Linked DNA regions of Caenorhabditis elegans. The protein of the gene in region 1 purifies or fractionates together with the protein of each later gene. This does not show direct contact. Each region holds a gene or a part of one and is shown in the gene's direction. Other genes may lie near its edges.

What was found.
Region 2: the proteins of chd-7 (region 1) and igcm-1 fractionate together in Caenorhabditis elegans (co-fractionation; one large-scale study listed by BioGRID). This does not show direct contact.

What each region holds. Positions count from the first base shown.
Region 1 is NC_003279.8:4,694,311-4,701,769, reverse strand, and holds the start of chd-7 (Chromodomain and Helicase Domain protein), read left to right. Parts: upstream 1-3,194; 5' UTR 3,195-3,335; coding exon 3,336-3,345; intron 3,346-3,882; coding exon 3,883-4,268; intron 4,269-4,580; coding exon 4,581-5,093; intron 5,094-5,718; coding exon 5,719-6,384; intron 6,385-6,431; coding exon 6,432-7,459.
Region 2 is NC_003284.9:845,276-854,656, reverse strand, and holds igcm-1 (B-cell receptor CD22-like), read left to right. Parts: upstream 1-3,135; 5' UTR 3,136-3,155; coding exon 3,156-3,219; intron 3,220-3,269; coding exon 3,270-3,426; intron 3,427-3,571; coding exon 3,572-3,771; intron 3,772-4,572; coding exon 4,573-4,684; intron 4,685-4,731; coding exon 4,732-4,815; intron 4,816-4,890; coding exon 4,891-5,287; intron 5,288-5,421; coding exon 5,422-5,564; intron 5,565-5,611; coding exon 5,612-5,834; intron 5,835-5,882; coding exon 5,883-6,038; intron 6,039-6,087; coding exon 6,088-6,945; intron 6,946-7,165; coding exon 7,166-7,381; intron 7,382-7,525; coding exon 7,526-7,706; intron 7,707-7,758; coding exon 7,759-7,894; intron 7,895-7,944; coding exon 7,945-8,055; intron 8,056-8,097; coding exon 8,098-8,195; intron 8,196-8,668; coding exon 8,669-8,754; 3' UTR 8,755-8,926; downstream 8,927-9,381.

The sequences.
Region 1 (7,459 bases):
CAATAACGATGAACTAATGGTCAGAAAGTGGAATTGTCTTATCATTTCTTATCAGTGATGATGCTCTCTCTCTTTCTCACTATGTCACTATCATTCATTTAGGGGGGTACCAATCGGCGGTGAAAAGCAAAAACCGCTCTTTTTCTCATTTAAACAGAACACACACAGACGACGCTCACACTGCGCTCACTCTCAAACACACACACATACACACCTTTGGCCGCTCATAACCAAAACGTCTGGGGGCGCACCTCTGGGTGGTTGAATTGGGAGGACCAAACGGGGGGAACAACGTGTGAGTGTTTTATGAGTTCCTTCTTTGCGCACACTCCACCGCTCACACAGAAAAAGAGGTCTGCGCAAGGCAAGCATCAGCAGCAGCAGCACGCTCTCTCTCTCCCTCTCTCTCTCTCTCTCGTAATAGTAGTATTGGTTAGTAGAAATGGAAGGAAGGAGGAGGTGGAAGAGACGACGACGCAGAGTAGTGGTCAGAACATGATCAGAGAACAGGTGAAATTGAGAAGAGCAGATGATAGACTATTGGAGAGTAGAGAGACGGACAGAAAGAGATTGTGCGCGTTTTTGTGGTGTAGAGAGGGGAAAGGGTTGTTGGCCAATAACACTCACCGATAGACAACACAGCAAAAACCAAGTTGCACATGCTTCTTCCTTTTTTCTTTTTTAAATCATATTTTTCCTATTGGTATTTTGTGGGATTTTCGGATTTGGATAACGACTTTTTTTCTGATATCATTATTATTTATCAAACTCATGTTCAGGGGATCTGTATATGGAGAATTCCATATGCCGAACTGAAATGTACTTGACCAGTAGTGTCAGAGTTCTCCCTTTCGGTTTGATCTACCAGAATTGTGGGAATTTAGATGACATCACATTTTTCTGAATTAAAAATTCCGATTTTTCTGTAGATCAAACCGTAATTGGAGAGCCTAAAACCAGGTTCTAGACAATATCTTCCGCCCTTAAAATTTCAAATTTTCCGCTACTTTTCTTTTGACTGGAATTTCCTGATTAAAATATGCGGTACTTCGTAAGAGTAAATAAATCGGTCCCTGTCTCGACGGCTTCACCATTTTCTGGGGGCCAATGTCGTCGGCGCGTCCTTTCCGTCCATTTGAACAGCTTGGCAAATTGCCAACGTTCTCTCTTTTTCTCTCGCACAGAGTCTCTACTGGCCAACTTGGCAAAATGCCAACTTTGGCGTTGTATCATCTTGTGTGATTAGGAAGTTCCTATGTTTTCCATTACTTCCGTAGAATTCGGAAAAAAAAATTCTGAAAATCTGTACTACTGCGATGTTTCATTTTAGCTAGCGAGTCGAGTCCGCTGATCAAATAAATATCTAGAGCTAAATGAACTGATTCATTTTTCGTCTACTGATGAATATGAAAGTTTGTGACGTAGAATTCATCTGTTGTTTGATGTCATGTGGCTGGCCAATTGGGTTTTCTCATTATCAGGTCTGCAGTTTATGTTGGTTTTATCTGTTTTTGCTTCAAGATTGATCGAAAGTTTTCTCGATAATTTGAAAGATATTTAGTAGTTTTTAAGAGTTTTTGGGTTCAACAAATTTGTAAAAAAATGTTTGAGGGGGAAATGAATTTTTTAAAATGAAAATACATCAATTATTGTGAATGCCCAAATGTTAGGTCTCAGCACGAAATCTTCTGTTTCTTTTTCTTCCGTTTTCCTGATTTTGAAAGTCTATTGTATTTAGATATTCCAGTTACTGAATTTGTTTAAAACTATATTTATTTTCGAAAAAAAAAATTTTCCAGAACAAAAACTTGACAGTAGGGCTTACAGTAACCATGGTTTCATCTTTAGAATGGTCAGTCTGGTTAATCGAGACGCAGTTAATCACTTGTTCGCTTCGTTTCTTCGATAAAAGAATGAATTGTATGTGAAAAAAAACACTTATCCTCGTTTTTCTCCTTCTACTCATCTCCAAAAACCAAAACCTTCATCATCATCTTCAATTTCATCTTGGTCAACCACCACCACCACCGCCGTCCTCCATCTCCTCCTCGACTCGATCCGTCCGGCGTCCTCCATCCTCATCATCATCATCATCAACAACATACCGGGAAGGGGACACAAATGTCCCAGCAGCGACCAAGAGGGGGTCCACCCCACACACATAGCACCTCTACTTTCTACATCTAACCCTCTTTCTCTGTGTGTGTGCTAGAATCGATTAGAAGAGTTGAGAGAGAAGAAGAGACGACCAAACAGCAAGAGATGATGAGAGAGTGCTCAAGCTCGGAGAGAGACATTAGACAGTGGGCAATGTGTGAGAAGGAGAGAGTAAGAGAGTCGAGAGAAGTGTCCTGGTCTGTGTGTCCGTTTCTTGTGTTCTTCTTCTTCTTATTCCTTTTCGTCTTGCCATGTCTGCATCTCGTATACTATAATACTATTCCCATGAACTCTCACTCTACTCATTCGTCCCCCCGTTTTTTTTTCTCATTGCCATTGCATACGCACTACACACACACATACACTCACCATCAAATTGAAAACGAAGATTCGTTTTTTTTTGAAGAACAAAAAAACTTCCTTTCTTTGGGTTTTTTCTGGCCTTTTTTGGTTGATGATGACTGTTGACGATAACATCTTTTTTGCAAAAAAAATTCGCGTCTTTTGGTTCTAGATACTTCCTTCCATTTATGTCTCCATTCGATTCCATAATATATTATTTATTCTGAAAACCTTGTAGCCCGATTCAAAAGTTCAATATTTTTTGTTCGCAACGAAGCGCATTTCAAAAATACGGTACCCGGTCTCGACACGACAATTTTTCTTTGGAAAAATGCTCCTTTAAAGAGTACTGTAACTTCAATATCGGAATTTTTATCGATATTTCTTTTTCTTTTCGATAAACATGTATTTATTACAACCCAAACATTTTTAAGAAATCATAAGAAAAACTATGAAAAATGTATTTAAATTATGTTTTTGAAACTACAATACTCTTTAAAGGCGCACATATTTTTGTATTTATCTAAAAAAATAGTCGTGTCGAGACCAAGTGCTGCTAAATTTCTAAAAATCAAATAATATTTTTCTTTTATATCTCGAACTACCATCTTTCTTTTTTCTTTTGTTTTTTCCTATCAATAGTGAAATAATCGGTCCTCAACATTTCAAATTTATTAATTTATTTTAATTTTCAGATGATAGGCTGCTGAATTAATATACAAATTCAAAAAGAAACAGCTGACGCATTGTGAAGAATTGGATTTTTTAAATTATATATTTTCGCTTTCTTTTTGTACAAGTTAATCTCATTATAACCACATAACCAAACACACAAAATGGATGAAGGTGAGTCTTTTTGGAAACATTTGAAAATTGAATTTATTTAAGTTCGAAATTTTTTATAGTATTGTAGATTCTTGAAAAATGTAATTCACTTTAGAGGTGCAAAGGGTCTTGCAACTATTTCTAGCATTTTTACAATCGAAACATTTATGTAACGATTTTTACTGTTTAGGGTCTCGACACGACTTTTTTTTTATTAAGTACAAACGTGTATGTGCCTTTAAAGATTACTGTAACTCAAAAATTTCGTTTCTACGAATTCTTCAAAGTTTCTCGTTAAAAGTTGATATATTTACTAAAAAACCAAAATAAATCACATAAATTTTAACAAATCGTGAGAAAAACTGAAAATCGAGGAAAATTCCGCAGCAACGAGAGTTTGCAACTACAGTACTCTTTGAAGGCGCATACCTTTTTTAAGATCATACAATTTAGAGTCTAGGTAATATTACATTTTTTGTTGCATAAGAAAAATTAATCATCATTTTAATAAAAAAAATATCGAATTCTAGTTTTGGGAATTATTCAAAATTTTTGCAGGCGACGACTACGTTCCACAAATGTCCCAAATGGCAGATTACACAATGATGGGCGGCCCGCCACCACAACAATCTCAACAATCTCAGCAGGGCGTTCCTCAACGGTATCCAGGTCAACCGATGAATCCATATGAACAACAACAACAGCATCATCAAATGATGATGATGCAGCAACAACATCAAATGCAGCACATGGCTCCACCACCACAACAAGTACCACCACAGCCAGCTCAGCCACCACCTGCAAAAAAGGCACGTGGAAAATCAAAAAAGGCTCAGGCAGAAGCGGCGGCGGCTGCAGCGGCGGCAGCAGCTGCACAGATGGATCCGATGGCGTCGATGGCGGCAATGTCGAATAATCCAATGATGAGACAGGGTGGATATCCGGTAAGTAGTTTATTTGGAAAATCTTGGAAATAAACTGCCTAAAAACTTTATTGATAGAAAAGAGCAGTTTTGGGATTTTGTTTTAAATAATAGACTACATATTAAAAAGTTAAAATTTTTTAAATTGTCTCGAAAATTTTAAAATTTAAATTATTTAAATATAAATATTCGATCATTTCAGACTATTTTCCATTATTTGAAAGTTTCAAATTGAAACAAAATCCCAAAACGACTCTACTCGACCTTTAAAATTATGAATATTTTATTTAAATATCTAAAGAATATCACTGACTCCTCTCAAAGTATTTTCAGAACCAAATGGCGATGTACGGCGGCGTTCCACCACCACACTATCCATCATCCAATGGTCCATCACAACAAGGGTACCGGCCAGGACCCGTAACAAATGGACCACCACCGCAAGGACAATATCCACCACCGCCACAAGCACCTCAGAACTATCAACAAATGTACCATCAACAACGAGCTCAACAACAACAAGCCGGCCAACAACAAGCCCAAGGGCCACCCGGATATGGTCCATATGGTTATGCACCACAGGCATCCACTGGATATCCACCACCACCCTCCCAACAATCACCGTATGCTCCACAAGCGGGACCTCCTCCACAGATGAGGCATCAATATCCACCACACAGTCAACAACAGGCACCACCAGGATATTGGGATGGTTATCAGGGTTACGGTGGACCACCACCTTCACAACAGCAGCAACAGCAAGGAGGTGGACCTGTGACGGCGCCTCAATCAATGCAAATGGCACAACAGGAACAATGGGGAAGAGTTGGAACCAATGATTTGATGGTGAGTTGGTAGTAGGAATGAAAATGCGAGAAATTGCAAACACAAACAATGAAAAGTCAAAATAAAGCCTCTTCTGAAAAACAAATTCAAATTCATCTTGATACTTGAGAAAAATTGAATTTTGTAGGTTTCACGTATAATTCTTTAGACTATTTTGCAAGAAATTTCCTACAATACGGTCAAAATATTATTGCCTAAAACCAACAAAATTCGATGTTTTTCAAACATTCAAAATATATTTGAATTTCAAATTTTAATGGATTTTTCGTCTTTTTGAATTGATGTGCAAAATATCTCGTAGCGAAAACTACAGTGATTATTTAAATGAATACTGTAGATTTACAGGGCTCGATTTTTTAAATTAGCAAAAAATGAGAAAATACGAAAAAGCGAAGGAAAATGGTATGTAGCTACTCGATAGAATACTCGTTTCGAAAGTCGAGCCCATAAATCGATATAAGAGCTACAGTAGTCATTTACACAATTACTGTAGTTTTCGCTACGAGATATTCTGCGCGTCAAATATGTTGCGCATTACGCATTCTCAGAATTTCGGGTTCCCGTAATATGTGTTTGTGGTTCAAATTTTAAAAATAAAAACTAAACTAAATCACTTATTTTTCAGAACGTCATTGCTCAAGTGGAAAAATCATCTGCAGAATGCAAGGCACGAATTCAACAACTCTACAATATGCAACGAAGTGCGTCGGCTGACGCAGAAGTTCAACAGCTGCAACATAAACTTGCTCAGTTCCAAAGTGATCATTATCGGTACAGCCAACAGCTTCAACACGTGCAGTGGCAACAGCAGCAACAACAACAACAAGCTGCTGCTGCTGCAGCGGCGGCCGCAGCAGCTGCATCTGCTGGCGGACATCATCAAGGACCACCACCACCAACGTCTTCCCAATCGAATCAAATTCCATCGAATCCGAACTCAGTGCCAGTTCATGTGAATCAACCTGGAAGTCAAGTTCATATAACCGCTGATAAGACGAGGACACTGATATCTGTCTACCACGATGGTTACGGAGGTGCGGGATCTGGAGCCAGCTCCACTGAAAGCAAGGAATCTATTGTGCCGCCTGAGCCAACTCCGTCTATGCAAGAATCACCGGTTCCAAATGCTCCACAGGTTAAGATGGAACCAGAGAAACCATCGCCGTATCAGCAACAGTATAATGGAATGGAGAATGGTTCTGGAAATCCGTATGCTCAGCAACAACAGCAGCATCCGATGTATGCACAGTATCAACAGCAGCAGCAGCAGCATGCTCAACATCAGCAGAACGTAAGCTTGTAATTCCTAATTAATTCTTAAATTTTTGAATATTTCAGATGTCTGGATATCCTCAACAGCAGCAACAACCTCAACATCCTCACCAGCATCAACAGCCTGCTTCGGTCCCAATGCAACATCATCCTCAGCAACATCCATCCCAACATCAAACCCAACCCAACCAACAACAGCAGCAGCACCCATCCGGATACGGTATCGGTGTTAGTACGGCGCCGGCTTCAATGGAACCATCACAATCAGTGGATCAATCAGCACCACCGAGTCAAGCCCAAATTCCGGCAACTTCTACTCCATCGACATCATCTCAACAGCAGAACGCCTACCCGGAGTTTCCTGATTTTCCATCGTCGTCAGGATATCAAGAGCCTACTGTTGCTCCTGAAGCCATACCATCTCCATCTGTATCTGATCCGATAATGCCACAGTCTTCTCAAAACGATCAAGAACTTCAGGCAATTAGTGATCAACAGGAAATTCTAGAGGACGTTCCGAAAGAAGAACCAATAATAGAAGAGGATGAACCAAAGTATGAGTATTCTCAAGAAACGATTCCAGTTGAAGAACTGAAAGATGAAGTGGAATTTAAAGAGGATCAACAATCAACTTCGAATCTATTAGAAGATGATACAGGAATTGATAATTTTGTAAAGAATGAAGAAGGTGCTGAAGCGGGTTATAGTAATGGAACTCCTTTGGATCAAGTTGAGCAGAATGATTACGAAAACATTGAGAAAGAAGAGCCACAAGTGTCAGTAGATCCCGAGCCCGTGGAAGTTGAAGCTCAACAAGAACCAGCAGATACTGAGGAATATCCTATCCCATCTGTTGGAACAATTGAAGAGCCCGCCGAAGAGCCCGCTGAAGAGCCCGTCGAAGAGCCGGAGCCAATGGATGATAGTTCACCAGTTGACCAATCTACTCCAGTGAAAGCTGACGATATTGAGAACTTTGCAGGAGTTGAAGAGACTTTTGGCGAAGAAGAAGAAGTTCAGGATGAAGACGATGATGAAGCATCCTCTGCAAAATCATCAAAAGACGACATCAAGGAAGAAGAAGATGATGACAC
Region 2 (9,381 bases), on another chromosome or scaffold:
TGCCATTGAGAGCATCCAGAATAAAGACATAAAGCAAAGTTCCGGAAACAATAAAAGAACAAAACAGAAACATCATATTGTAATTCGAGACCCTAGTTCGACTTCCAGTTCCAATAAAAATGAAGAAAAAAGAAAAGCAATTCACAATTCGCCGCACAAAAACATGGTAGGCTCTTCCCGCGCACCACCGCAACGGGAACCAAACAAGTCCCCTCTCTCTCACCGTCTCTACCGTCAAATTTATTCGTTCCTATTCTGCTGCTCGGCTGCACACTCAGCTACAGGTCAGCGTCCCCCCCCCCCCCCCACACTATTTACCTTTGGTGGGCTCCTGTTGCTCTCCTGCTGCCCACTACTTCTTACCATTCTCGGCGTTTTCTCTGTTTCTTGACACTTTTTGAATGGGTTTTGAAGTTTTATAATGTGGCACTTGGTAAATATTAAAAAAATAACGCTCAATTTTTTGAAATTTGAAAATGTAATTAATTTGAAAAATTCCTATTTGGCTTTGTTTTTGTTTTTCAAAAAAAAAATTGAAATTCGGTAATTCAATAAGTGGTTTTTCACACGCACGAGTGGTTTTTTCTCACCTTTGCGTTGCGGTCATTGCAAAATTAGTTAACATTTTAAATCATTGTTTTGTTACTAACTAAATTTACATATAACTGTTTAATTATGATATCTGAATAAGTTCTCAAATACTGATTCAGAACAAACCTCGCATCACATTTCCCTTTTTTCTAGGTTTGTGTCCTGTCTTCCTCATTACAATTACTACCCAAAACCAAAAATTATTATTAGCACCCCTTCCCCCTTCCCCAGTTGCACTAAAATCCCCCATTTTAGGATTAAGAAAAGGTGTCCAGGTGCTACCTGAGCTGTAGGCCCGGCTCACATTTCTACTAAATCTCTATCTGGATCAGGTGTACACTTAAATGAGGAGATTTATGTTCGGGTGGTGTGAGGGAAATAAATGGGTATTTTGATTGAATTATTTTAACTGTTTTCATAATTAGAGCCAAGCGTGGTGGCGAAATTGAGCTATTGGGCTTTTGTCTTGAGATTAAGAGAAAAGAAAAGCTTTGAGACTATTTTTGTAAAAAAAATTTTAGGCTTGACAGGAAATTAGAGAGTAAAAGTTGCTTGTTAAACTAATTCTTATGCTTTTAGCTTGATTCTTACATTTTTCAAATCCTATTCTAAAAAGCCATTATTTTTTGTAGCCATCGCTATGAATATAAATCACAAAACTTGGAAACCCCAGTCAATCACCAAATATAATGTCACTTTTGTCCGGCATAATTGTCGTCTGATTCCGTTTTTGTTTAATTTTATTAAATTAAATGTTCAACTTGAAGGCTTTGAAAAGACAATTTCATACATAACGCTGGTTAATCACCAAACATACATATGTATAGCCATCTTCTCGATTTATAATAGCCTGTTTAAGCTGTGTTATATGTTCCATCCCCGTTCAGCTTAAACATTGTCATAATTAACGTTTTGAAGCTGCCAATTTTCGGCTTCCAACAATTCCAAAACAAGCGGAATCTGAAACCAAAAACAACTAAATAGGAACACCGGCTAACGAATTTTTAATTGGTGCTGCTGGGGCTTGTGTGAATGAATTGTCGGTGGGGCTGTATGTTCTTTCGTTCGCCCCTACCATTTATTTGTTTCTAAGTCCTTCGCGTCGCACCCCCCGTAATTACGTCTCATAATTAGCCACAGTCAGTCCCTTTTCTCTCTCTCGGTCTCCCTCTCTCCGAAAAATAATCGCGGACATGGTGGTTAGGTAGAGTAGCCTCCAAAAGCACGTCCCCTCACCTCATTGCCATTCTGACAGCTTTTCAATATGAATTGCGACAAATTTGTGTTCCACACATGGTGGTTGCCTTGGTTTTATTAGTTTAGACAATACCCCCCCCCCTTTTCAAGGTATGTCAAACCCAGCTAATTACTGCTATTGTGCCGGTGTGCTGGGTTTTGTATTATTTTAACAAATTATATGCATTGCTAGTGCATTTTTGATCAGAAAGTTTGCAAATTTGTGATCCAATTTTCAGATATTCAGAGTTGGGAAAAATTACAGAACAAATTAGTTTTAGCTGATTTTTTGAATTGTTTTGTGATTTTTGTACTCGATAAATGTTAAATTGCCTAATTTTTGAATCATCGGGCTGTTGAAAAATAATAAAAAAAATTTCGGCAGTTACCAAATATGTTAAAACTCGGCAATTGCCGAATCATCGAATTGCAAGAAAATTTTGAATATATTTTTTTGGCACAAACCCAAAACAACCAGAAATACAGTAATACTATGCATGTTATTCCTAACTAAACCAACGCTTGTTGCACTCAACATGCCGCCAATGTGTGAGTTTCTTTGAAATCGAGAGTATCTAAGTTGCAAACTTCTAAATTTTAATTCCTCCATTCTCCCCATCTTCCAACAAATGTGTCATTTCCCGACTACGGGAGGAGAAGGCTGTTGCCGAACTAAATACTAATCTTCACGATCTTTTTTTTGCCTCCAATTCTCCCACATTCAACCAGTTCCATCGGTTCTTTTTCTTTGATTCGGCCTGTCTAATTTTCGTGCTTATTTTTTCTCTTTTTTACTTAGTTTCACTTGAAAGATTTGAAATAGAATTTTGGATATCTGAGAGTTGCGGAGCAACCATGTGGAAATATTGGTGTGAAATTGAACACCCTTATGTTACACTTTTTGTGCTTTTTGGTTTTTTTTGCGTATAGAGGATTTAAAATCCAGTGTTATCTTTCAGTAAGCGAATTTATGTCATCTCAAAAACTATTTCATTTCAAAAGTCTAAAAATATAAAGTCTAAGGCCTAGCCCTATGCTTAAGCCCACACTTAATATTGAGCCTAAGCATAGGCCTGAGATTTGGACTTTGTTTTCATAGACCTTGAAAAAAGTTCACTAATTTTGAAAAAAAACCCTTCTGATTGTTTTTTTAAATCAAATTCGATTATTTTCAAAAGGTCATTTAATGATATTTTGATACTTTCTGTCTTGTTTTTCATTTTCAATTCAATGTTCAACTTCTTGTAATCCTTTTCATTCTCATTATTTTTTTTGTTTAATACAGTCTTACAAAGTTTAAATAATTTCAGAGGAATTCTACCAACCAGATGGGAGGGAAGCGGTTATTTTTCCTATTTTTCTTATTTTTAGTGCAACTCACCAATAGTGCAGGTAATTGAAATTCGAAAAATTTTTAACAAAAAATTTATTGACAATTTCAGATTCATCAGATGTGTTCTTAAAAGAACCCAGCTCGGAACCGTATTTTCTCCAAGAAGGAAATGAGGGAATTGTCATCCCATGTGTCGTGAAACCAGAGTATTTTGACAGACAAAAGTATGAAATCAACTGGGCGAGGTACAATAATGGACAGTTGAGGTGAGCATTTTTCAAATTTCAAATTTATGTTTTCAATAAGTTTCTCACCAATTTCATGCTTCACTCTAACAGTGGTTAAAATGAAACTTCTCATTTCTATTCTCCGAATCCCATCAACTTCATAATTGCAATGTCAATATTATAGAATGATCACGAAAAACGACAAACTTCTCGCAAAAAAGCATTCAAGGTTCATTTTGGAGAATGATTCGGCGACAGGAAACTATAGCCTTCGAATCACTGAAGTGGAAAAGAATAGTGTCGAAGGGACTTACCATTGTAATGTAATTGGAACAGATGATTCGGATGTGCAGTACTCCGCGCTGGCGACCGTTGTTGTTTTAGGTAAGAGATTAGCATTTTTCAATTGATAAGGTGATTTTCAAATATGCGATCAAATATTGTTCTTTCTCCAGAAAAATTGTTGTTAAACCCCAGTTTAACTACCTGAATTAACATTCTTCAATGATAACTTTGTCAGTGCACCGCTCATACTAATCAGTGCATTTATCAATTTTGTCACTGTCCAGTTATTCTTTCCAAACCCATTACCACTTGTACTTTTTTTTGTGCATGACAACTGCCAATTATTGACCTATGCGCAGTAGGCTGGCACTAATAATGCTGACCTTTTTGTTGGAAGTAATTTCCTAGAACAAAAATGAAAATATAGTATTGAATTAGAAACGTTATTTTGGTGACCGTTTTTGTTTTATGGAGGAGATAAAACAATTTTAAGTTTTCCCGATATACATAGAATAACAGGGTTAGGCTAGAAAATTACTTTCAAGTAGCATTACTCAATAATTACTTATTTAAAATTATAGCATTTTTCAATTTTGTCAGTGCATAACTCAAGTTGGTCACTGCATTGTTAAGTTTGAGCAGCGCCTTGATAAACTTGGTCGGTGCTCGCTTGATTGTTTGTGTCACTAAAAATTGTCAGTGCGACCGGAAACATCTCCATTCAATTTTTTTTGCTGGTACTAATTTCTTTGTTCAGAACAATTTTCCAGAAATGAACTAAAAAGTAAAATTTAATAGAAAACCAGAAAACCAACCATATCGTATTTCAACGCAACAAGTCAATTTCAAAATAATTACTACCACTCATGTTCATGTCAAATAATGAAATACATATTTCAGTTCCACCTGGTGACCCAATTATTAGCACTACACCTTCCGAGAGCGTAATTGAAGGAGACTTTATGACTGCCAAGTGTGTCTCGGTTGGTGGAAGCCCACAGCCAACATTCACGTGAGTTCTCGAAAAGTTCGGGGATTGTTAGAAGTAATTTTTTTCAGATGGACACTACCGAATGATACAATTGCGAGTTCAGCTATTTTTACAACTCAGTTTAGGGACGGTGCAACCGAAAGTTTGTTACAGTGAGTTTAAAAAAAATTAGATTATAATTTAAATAACCTCCCTTTAAAATTCTACTAACAATTCAATTATTTCAGTTTCCGCGTAACCTCAAGCGATGACGGAAAATCCGTGCAGTGTGACGTCACTAACAGAGCCATGCTTGGCGGAGAAACAAAACAAGTGAAAAGTTCCCAGCTTAACGTGCTCTACAAACCAGTCGTCTTCGTAACGCCAACCGAAAACCTCACTCACTTGTCAGTAGAAGAAGGAGAGCTGGTCAATTTAACTTGCAACTCAGCTTCAAATCCCCCAGCTCATAGTTATGAATGGAAGCATATTGCGTCAGGGGAACGATATCAGGGAAAAATCTGGCCAATCCGAGTTGACAGCTCAATGAGCGGAGATTTCGAGTGTAGATCGACAAATGAACTGGGAGAAGGCACAGCTGTTTTGAAAATGGTTGTACAGCACATACCAAGAATTAATGTTCCGGTTAGTTTTGATTATACTGTTGGAATAATCGCGAACCCAAATAATTTTTTAACAAAAAACTACCCGGTCAATATCTGGCTATAACATAACAAACCAAATACTTAAAAAAAAAATTTTTATAACAACTTTTTCAGGAGTCAATCAGCCCTAACGAAATGGAAGATATTGATATTCTGTGTGAAGTCAGTGCAGTTCCAGAAGTCATTGATATCAAATGGGTTGGACCAAATGGTTTCAAGCAGAATGGGTCCAGATTGACAATTACATCAATTTCAAAGTAAAAATATTTTTTCTCGAATTTCACTTTAAAAAATTCCAATTTAGAGCGCAAAGTGGAAATTACACATGTATGGCGACCAACTTTTTGACAGTCTACGGACATTCTGGGTCACAGCAACGAATGGGCACAGGAACGACAATTGTTGACGTCAAGCGAAAGCCTGGTCAGGCTCAAATTGTTAGTGCTCGACAGAACGTAGATGTTGGAGAGACTATCAAGTTGATGTGTCAAGCTGAAGATGCAGGAAATCCGAGTGCTTCTTATACGGTGAGTTTGGCTTGAAATGTTCTCCGAATTTTAGGAAAATTCTTATAGTGGGCTTCTCCATCATCCGGTGGAATTTTCGGCTTGGAAGGCCACACAGAAAAGTCATTTGAAGTCAGGAATGCTCAGTTATCGGATAATGGCGTATATTCTTGCAAGGCATACAACGATCTAGGAGAAGGAAAAATTGGAACAGTAATGATCACGGTAAGATAATTAATACTGTAGTTTCTCATAACCAACCTATTTGTTTCAGGTCATTGAAAAAGCTCGAATTTCTAGTCCCCTTGCCACTGAGCGAATTTTCACATCTGGAGAACAAGGGAAAATACTGGAGTGTGAGGCTCAAGGATATCCATCTCCTGTTATCAAATGGCTGAAAGATGGGCGTCCAGTAAAACAGAGCATCTACGCTTCATCTGCAACATCCGAATCAAAATGCCTTCCAGAGGATTTCTGTACTCAGACGGTTGCTAGTACCTTGACACTTGCGGGTCCTCTGAAATGGTCGGACAAAGGAAATTTTACATGTGTGGCTGATAATGGGTCTGACAAAACCGATAAAGACAGCAGCTCGTGGACAATTGTTCGAGTTCTTCATAAGCCGGTGTTCTTAAACAGGAAGTTCCCAGAAAAGTCACTAGCCGCTGCTGATATTGGATCCCAAGCAATCATCCGTTGCAAAGTCTCTGCGAGACCAGAGCCAGAGTTTCATTGGATGTTTAGAGACTCGGAAATTTCCGAAAATGAGAGACACTCGTTCCATACTGTCGGAATCACTGGAAAACCTGATGAATACGAGCAATTGCTCCAAATTGAAAGTGTGCAAGAATCCGATTACGGAGAGTACGTGTGCCGAGCAACAAATGGCAATGGCGGCGACCATGTTGTGATTGAATTGAGAAAGACTAGTCCACCAGCACTTCCATTGGACCTTCAAAAGCTGTCGGCTACTTCAAACTCTGTTCTGCTTGGATGGGTCCCACAATTTGACGGAGGTGCTGATCAAACGTATGTGCTGGAAACAAGGAAGATTGACCCATTCACTGGAGAAATCGACGGAAATGCTCCAGTGTCAAAGCTGAATATTAATGCCGTGCAACAAGATCAGGAGGTTGGTAGATTGATTTGGAAATATATAACGGGGTTACGCACCAACAGATTTTTATTACGTTGCACCAACCAACTTTAAAAAAAACCTATTTATTTATTACATCCGTCTCAGAAACATCTAGATTCCACTCTTTTTTATACTGACCAATTCAAAAATACGACCAGAAACTATTCCATTACCGCCATTAAAACACTCATAATCATCTCCATTTTTATCGCAGATCGACGGCACGCTAGTGTCGAAGAACATCTTCAACTTCACCGGGCTTACCCCATTATCCACTTACAATTTACGCATTCAAGCTGTTAGCGAGAAAGGCGAATCGGAATTTACGCCGGTTCTAATTGCCTCCACTGAAGACGTCGTTGAAGACGCGAACATGATGTCCCCAAGCCGCCTAGTTCTGGATTCCAGTGAACAGAAGATTAATGTTGAGGTGGGTAAATGGCAGACTCTGGATATTGGAAATCCAAGGGGCATTTTTACGGAATAGTGCTAGTTATGCAGTTTGTTGCTCACTTCGTGATATTGACTATGCACAATGACTGAATCGTGAAAAAAAACTAGTCAATATTTTCAGCCAAAACTACCATCGGATGCTTGCACATTGCTCTACGTATTTCTTGATGGAATATGGAGAACCAGCACTTGCCATACATCAAGCAACCCTATCGGAAATATCATTCCTGGAAGAGAATATAGAGCAAGGTTCTGCACAACTGCTAATGGACTTAAATGCTCACCAGTTTCTAAAACTATTTGTAAGTTTTTTTTTAATGTGAAGTTTAGTCTGAAGCCAAAATAAAATTTCAGCAAGCGGTTCTGGTTCAGTTTGGAAGACCAACGTGTTTTTCCCATTTTTATTCTTCATTTTCATTGGTCTTGCTATCTGCGTATTCTTCCTTGTCTGCTGCAAAACTCGATCAAATCCAAAAACTTCAAAACTTTCGTAAGCAAAAAAAATTAAAATATATGTTTTCCTACTTTACTCATTTTTAGGCCAATCATTCTTACTTCCCTACCTGGAGATGAATTGAAAAGGCCTGCAGATTATGAAGAACCAAAGCACGCAACATTTGCAATAACGGAAAACGAAACTAATCATTTGAGGTTAGGAGAATATTTAAATTCGAATAACTTCAAAAGTTTTAGTCAACATGATGCAAAGTCGACGAAACCGCCCGGTTTGAATATGGAATATGATGTGTCCACAGATTGTTATTTACAAGAAAATACAGAAGTTTTAAAAAGTGAGTTAGAAAATTCTATTTCCTAGATATGTAAAAAGATTAATTGGTAAGTAGATCGAATTTTCTTGAATATTTTCTGCACTATAATAAAATCAATAACCCTACTACTAACTTATTGCCCAATTCCCGATTGACTGATAAATGCAATTGCCCATTTAAGTAATTATGCTTTATTCCATTTTAGCCATACAGTGAACTTAATTGGTAGCTGGCTACACGTGGTGTCAGGCTGTGTCATTACGGTTTAATCTACAAAACATGCGGGAACGTTTTGGCCAAAAAATGTGACGTCAGCACGTTCTTAACCATGCAAAATCTGATGAGAACTCTACGTCGCAACTCTCGCGTTCTTTCAGATCTACGTAGATCAAACCGAAATGAGACACTCTGACACCACGGGTGGCTATATAACTTACAGACGCACTTGTTAAATCCTGCCGCAATTTTTGTAGACCAAACGATTCAACTTTCAGATACTTCACTATCCGGCTTTACAAACGGTGATGTACTGGAGAACAGTGATGAAGATCGACGAATCGTTCGAGAGATTATTGTTTAATTTTGTCATATTTTTTGTCATTCTTCCCCCCTCACAAACTTCTTTCATTGTATGACGTTGTTAAATATTCGGGTCGTTTAAACAACAGTAATAACGTGTTGATAGTTAACTTAACAGTGTGTTTTTGAGCTTTTTTTGAGCTCTAATTTTTCCTTAATAAAATTCTATAATCAAATTATGTATGCGTTAATCTTAAAACAACACACAAAATTTTTATGAATGTCCGCATATGCTTTTAATTTGAATGTCATTATATATTTATTAGAAACACATTCCTTCGAGCAATTTTAGAGACGGATGTTAGAATTGAGTTGAGTTTTTGGACTTTTTGATGATATTTGAGTTTGTTTGGCTCAGTTGGCATAATAGAACGTGTCTACATTCCGCCGAAGTACTCGTGAAACATTTTTTCAAAGTTTATTTCTGGTTCCAGTAAGAACAATGTTTGAAATAACTTGTACATTGCTAAAATGTCTAGAAAAATTTAGGTAAAGCTTTAAAAAATATTTTTGAAGTTTTTAACATTCGAAAACAAATACTCAATTTTTGCCGATCATGGTATGCCGACCAAATAAAAATTCTCTACAAATTTGAAATGTTTCAGATAATTGCACGCAGAGTTTGGCA